Saccharomyces cerevisiae S288C: one gene and its partner. The protein of the gene in region 1 interacts with the protein of each later gene in a biochemical or structural test. Each region holds a gene or a part of one and is shown on either strand. Other genes may lie near its edges. The genes, in order: TRX3 and TRR1.

The links.
Region 2: of the proteins of TRX3 (region 1) and TRR1, one has a biochemical effect on the other in vitro, tested with the Saccharomyces cerevisiae proteins (one study listed by BioGRID).

The regions. Positions count from the first base shown.
Region 1 is NC_001135.5:257,266-260,461, forward strand, and holds TRX3 (Trx3p), read left to right. Parts: upstream 1-2,312; coding exon 2,313-2,696; downstream 2,697-3,196. Other genes in the region: SRB8 (Srb8p), read left to right, coding at 1-1,389; AHC2 (Ahc2p), read left to right, coding at 1,618-2,004; chromatin-silencing transcriptional regulator TUP1, read right to left, coding at 3,046-3,196.
Region 2 is NC_001136.10:1,181,738-1,185,054, forward strand, and holds TRR1 (thioredoxin-disulfide reductase TRR1), read left to right. Parts: upstream 1-1,561; coding exon 1,562-2,521; downstream 2,522-3,317. Other genes in the region: YPQ2 (Ypq2p), read left to right, coding at 64-1,017; TRP4 (anthranilate phosphoribosyltransferase), read left to right, coding at 3,010-3,317. UniProt on the Saccharomyces cerevisiae protein: Central component in the thioredoxin system. Reduces thioredoxins 1 and 2.

The DNA of each region.
Region 1 (3,196 bases):
TTACTTACATGTTATGAATTAGAAAAAAAATATCATGGCAACGAATGTGAAATAAATTATTATGAGATCCTATTGAAAATTTTAATAACTTATGGGTCATCTCCCAAATTACTTGCAACATCTACAAAAATCATTATGTTGTTATTGAATGATAGCGTGGAAAACTCATCTAATATTTTGGAGGATATTTTGTACTACTCAACTTGTCCGTCGGAAACCGATCTTAACGATATTCCATTGGGTAGTGGACAACCAGACAATGACACTGTTGTAACCAACGATGATAAAAGTGACGATGATGATCACACAGTCGACGAAATTGATCATGTAGAATATTACGTTATGATGGACTTTGCCAATCTTTGGGTTTTCCAAGCGTTTACCTGTTTCTGCATCAAAAAAATCATGGAGAATAATGAGCCAGCAATGGCAATGGAAGACTTGAAGAACTTCATATTCCAAATTATCGAAATAACTAATTCTAATGATTTATGTTCACAAATATTTGACCAACTGAAGGATATGCAGACCATTGAGATGATAACCCAAATAGTGGAGAAAGATTTCTGCACTTCTTGTTTGCAAAACAACAACCAAAAGATAGATGATAATTACATCGTTGTGGTGATCGAGATTATAACGTCATTATCGATGAGGTTTCAAAGAGAAACTTCTGGTATGATAGTTATTTCCATGGAGAACTATCATTTACTAATAAAGATCATAAGACAATTAAGTGAACTGAACGAAGGAAATTTATCTAAGAGAGAAATCCAAATAGATGCCGTCTTGAAAATTTTTAGCTTTCATCAGGATTCCATTTTCCAACGCATCATCGCTGATTTATCAGCTGATAAACCCACAAGTCCATTCATTGATAGCATATGCAAGCTGTTTGATAAAATATCATTTAATTTAAGATTGAAGCTGTTCTTGTACGAAATTTTGTCTTCATTGAAATCATTCGCCATCTATTCATCCACAATTGATGCCCCAGCATTCCACACAAGCGGTAAGGTCGAACTACCGAAGAAATTGCTGAACTTACCACCATTCCAAGTGTCCTCTTTCGTTAAGGAAACAAAACTTCATAGTGGCGACTACGGGGAAGAAGAAGATGCAGACCAAGAAGAATCGTTTAGTTTAAATTTAGGAATCGGCATAGTTGAAATAGCGCACGAAAACGAACAGAAATGGCTCATTTATGACAAGAAAGATCATAAATATGTCTGCACATTTTCCATGGAGCCGTACCACTTCATCTCCAACTATAATACCAAGTACACAGATGACATGGCTACAGGCAGTAATGATACGACTGCGTTTAACGATTCCTGTGTAAACCTGAGTCTTTTTGATGCTCGGTTTGAGAGGAAAAATCCACATTGATCTCAGAATATATCCAAATGGATAAATTATAAATTTACCAATAACAGTAATTATGTGTCAGTTTTAATACCCAACCAATTGATTCCTCTAAATGATACCGTACCAAATGACATGTTTGCCACCGATTATAAAACTGGGGTTTATGAGCGATGGTTAAGGAGGATTAAGACAAAGTGCTCATCCGCTTACAAGATCAGTACTAGCGTGTACCAGTCTATTTAAACTGGAATGATCACCCCAAAGGGAACGCACGATGCTGTGGCCAAGTTTCAAAAAACTGACCTGCATCAAGATCTCGATTACATCGTACTGCAACAACGAAGAACACAGCTAGAGACGCTTATTAACGAAAGAGAATCTTTTGTCAAGAATCTGTGTTCTCTTTTCCACAAAATTCAAAATACCAAGAATTACCAGGAATTTGTTGATGTATTGGCGGAGAATAGGGATTTACTGCGAGAAATTTTCACTGTAGAGAACGGATTTCAAAAGCAAAAATGGATTAGCAACGACGACATTCCCCAGATAGACTGGGACAAGTTTGCCCTAGATATCAACGCTTATATAGCAGAGAACGATCAATTGTTGGCTTTGTATGAAGATGGCTTATTATGATCAAATAGCGGCTATGGACATTTTTAAACATATATTTATATATATATACATATATGCGTATATTGCATAAATCACAAAGAAGAACAACGCCCTAGATATAGTGACCCAAAATATTATGTTTAAGTTACTGGTTGGGGTTCATGTACATTTTTCACTATCTTTTAATTCCAAATGTGGATTGTGCTTCTGCAGATTTTGTTGCCTAGTATTCTGTGATGGAAAAAATTGCCCCGATGAGATATAAAATGAGCTAGCCCCCTAACCAAAGAAAGCAGGATTGGTTAGTACATAGAGAAACCAAAGCTGTTATGTTGTTCTATAAGCCTGTGATGAGGATGGCGGTGAGACCGCTAAAAAGCATAAGATTCCAGTCCTCATACACCAGTATTACTAAATTGACGAACCTAACAGAATTTAGGAATTTGATCAAGCAAAATGATAAACTAGTCATCGATTTTTATGCTACTTGGTGTGGCCCCTGTAAGATGATGCAACCACACTTAACGAAATTAATTCAGGCTTATCCAGATGTAAGATTTGTCAAGTGCGACGTGGACGAATCACCAGATATTGCCAAAGAGTGTGAAGTGACGGCTATGCCCACCTTTGTTCTTGGCAAGGATGGCCAACTCATCGGCAAGATCATTGGAGCTAACCCTACTGCTTTAGAGAAGGGAATCAAAGATCTATAAATTTTATATTCATGAGCACATGTAGTTTTTTTTTTTTTAGTTTTAAATATAAGAAAAAAGATAGTATATATATATATATATATACATATACATATAAAAGGAAAGTAAGCTTATACAATACACAAATAAATTCATATCAAAGAATAATGAACCGCAATATTCAGAAACACAGGAAAAGGAGGGGAAGGGATGAATGGTGAGGAAAGTAACTGTTTGTTTTAAAGCGTACCTGGATCATAACATAACAAATAAGTAGATAAAAAAGAATAGAGAGAAAGATATAATGACAATGAATTGAAGAATAGTTTAGTTAGTTACATTTGTAAAGTGTTCCTTTTGTGTTCTGTTCTTAATTTGGCGCTATTTTTTTATACTTCCAAATCCTTGCTTTACAATCACCGCTACCAGTAGCAAAAACGTTATATTCTGGACCCAGCGGAGACCCGTTTGCCACAGCCACAGATATAACTGAATTCCTATGACCTTGCAACATCAATAAC
Region 2 (3,317 bases), on another chromosome or scaffold:
TCAATCGATAAGGTTCGTTGTTATCGGTGCTAAAAATTATAAAGTGAAAATAAGAATCTTTTCATGTCGTGCTCAAACGGCATCTGGCCTACTGTATCTAATTTGTGCGGATCATTATCCTTCTTCACCTCTGTTATTTCATTGTTTCCACAAATAATTGAGACTTATCGAGATAAATCTGTCGATGGGCTATCGCCATATTTTTTGCTGGCTTGGTTATGTGGGGATATTACCTCGCTGATAGGGGCAAAGCTAACAGGGCAATTGTTATTTCAGATACTTTTAGCAATTTATTTTCTATTGAATGATTCTTTTGTATGTGGTCAATATTATTACTATGGCGTGCTGCATGAAAATAAATTGGCGACTGTCGGCCATGAGCCTAAACCTCTTCTTCCCGAACTGGTTGAAAATGGTGAGCTTTTGAGGGAGGAAGAGGACATGATACAAGGTGGTAGCAGTGCAGAAAGCCCTAGAAGCAGTAGAAGAAGGTCTGCCATTACAGCAGCCTTGGCTATAGCTCATACTATAAGTACAGCTAGCGCATATCCGCTAAATGTAGGCTCCACCCAATCACAAGTGGGGCCTCCCGGAGATGGTAAAAACAGCCAGCTGGGTACAATTTTATCTTGGATTGGCGCTTCCTTCTACGTAGGCGCACGTATCCCACAACTAATCAAGAATTACAATAGAAAGTCTACAGACGGCTTATCTCCCTTCCTATTTGCTACTACACTACTCTGCAATATCACGTATAATTTGAGCATCTTCACAAGCTGTAGATTTTTAGATAATCAGAACAAGAGGGAATTCATCGTGAATGAGTTGCCCTTTATATTTGGAAGTGCTGGAACAATTGCGTTTGATTTGATATACTTCTACCAATACTATATCCTTTATGCAACTGATATGCAACTACGTGAACTGGAAAGAGAACTATACAGTCCTGAAGAAGACAGTGCAGCGCAACTAGTGACAGAACGTACATCACTGTTGTCTGGTGAAACGCAAACATAGTTTTCCCTACGGAGTACTACCATTTATATTTAAACAATGCACTCTGCTCTTGGGATAGTCCTTGCGAGACCCTTTTTTCCCAATAGGAATACTACGTTCGTACTCTGTGTAAAAGTACCCAACTATAGTTAGCGCCAGTTTTACGTAAAACCGTCTATGTCTTGTTTGCATTCGCAACAGCTACAAACACATATAGTTTGTCACACTAATATTAATAATGAAAGTTATTATGTATTCACTGTGAACGCTTCAGTATACAGTACGGCAGTAAGTGTTTCATTCTGTTCTGGATTAATAATCTTTCACTTTGCCTAGCCATTTGGGGGCGGGTTTTGGCTGGGTTAGCTTCTCCTTAGTCATGGAGAAAAAAAATCGCCCGCAAGTATCTCGAAAAAGGAAAAAATGCCCACGCGTATAAGAGTGGACCCAACTGCTCGAGGTTTCAAGAGCTTGTAGATTAATTTCTGTAGTTCAGTTATACTTGCCTACAAGTGCTATACAGCAAATAGCGAACAGTACGAAAGTAAACATCATATTATCAATAATGGTTCACAACAAAGTTACTATCATTGGTTCAGGTCCAGCTGCACACACCGCCGCCATCTATTTGGCCAGGGCAGAAATCAAGCCAATCCTATATGAAGGTATGATGGCGAACGGTATTGCTGCCGGTGGCCAGCTAACCACCACTACAGAAATCGAAAACTTCCCAGGTTTCCCAGATGGTCTAACAGGTAGCGAACTGATGGACAGAATGAGAGAACAATCCACGAAGTTTGGCACTGAAATTATCACGGAAACAGTTTCCAAAGTTGATCTGTCTTCCAAACCATTCAAGCTATGGACCGAATTTAACGAAGACGCAGAACCTGTGACGACTGACGCTATAATCTTGGCCACAGGCGCTTCTGCTAAGAGAATGCATTTGCCGGGCGAGGAAACCTACTGGCAAAAAGGTATTTCTGCCTGTGCCGTGTGTGATGGTGCCGTCCCCATTTTCAGAAACAAGCCATTGGCCGTCATTGGTGGTGGTGACTCTGCATGTGAAGAAGCTCAGTTCTTGACCAAGTACGGCTCAAAAGTGTTTATGCTTGTCAGAAAAGACCATTTGCGTGCTTCTACCATTATGCAAAAGCGTGCTGAGAAGAACGAAAAAATTGAAATCCTTTACAACACTGTTGCGCTAGAAGCTAAGGGGGATGGTAAATTATTGAATGCCTTGAGGATTAAGAACACTAAAAAGAATGAAGAAACCGATTTGCCAGTCAGCGGTTTATTTTATGCAATTGGCCACACTCCAGCAACAAAGATTGTCGCTGGCCAAGTCGACACTGATGAAGCGGGCTACATTAAAACTGTCCCAGGCAGCTCATTAACCTCCGTTCCAGGATTTTTCGCTGCTGGTGATGTTCAGGATTCTAAATACAGACAAGCTATTACTTCTGCTGGCTCTGGTTGTATGGCCGCTTTGGATGCTGAGAAATACTTAACTTCCCTAGAATAGATGAATTTTCCATTATAAAATAGATACACTCAAATTTTTGTATACTTATCCAACAAATCGTTACTTTCTCCTTTTCTTTAATAAAAAGCAAACCATGAATTTTATTTCTTTTCCCCATTATTAGAGAAAGCCAATACATAATCTACATATATTGCGTGTCTGAATTAAACTTTTTAGACACATGACATAGGCCATCGGCTTACTTTGTAACGCGTGGTTGCCTATACACCGACTATTAAGTTATGACTAATATTATTGCTGCGCTTCCCCACCTGCATTTTTCTTGTCGTCTTTGCCAAAAGGAAAAAAAAACCTACGCAGATTGACTCTCTAAAAAATGATTCATGACCAGACAATTCAGTAAACATAAACTCTGTTGCATTCATTCTTCTGGAAAACTTTATAATAAAGCATCTGATATTACAGCTACTGACAACTAAGTGAATTTAAACTGCAATAATCACAAGAAAACTTAGTATTCCCTTATCATGTCCGAGGCGACTTTGCTATCTTACACCAAGAAATTATTGGCTTCTCCGCCGCAATTGAGTAGCACAGACCTACACGATGCGTTGCTGGTTATATTAAGTCTTTTGCAAAAATGTGATACAAATAGCGATGAGAGTCTTTCCATCTATACCAAAGTTTCGAGTTTTCTCACGGCCTTGAGAGTTACTAAACTTGATCACAAGGCTGAATACATTGCGGAAGCTGCAAAGGCTGTGCTCAGACATTCCGACCTTGTTGATCTACCTTTACCCAAGAAGGACGAATTACACCCGGAAGATGGACCAGT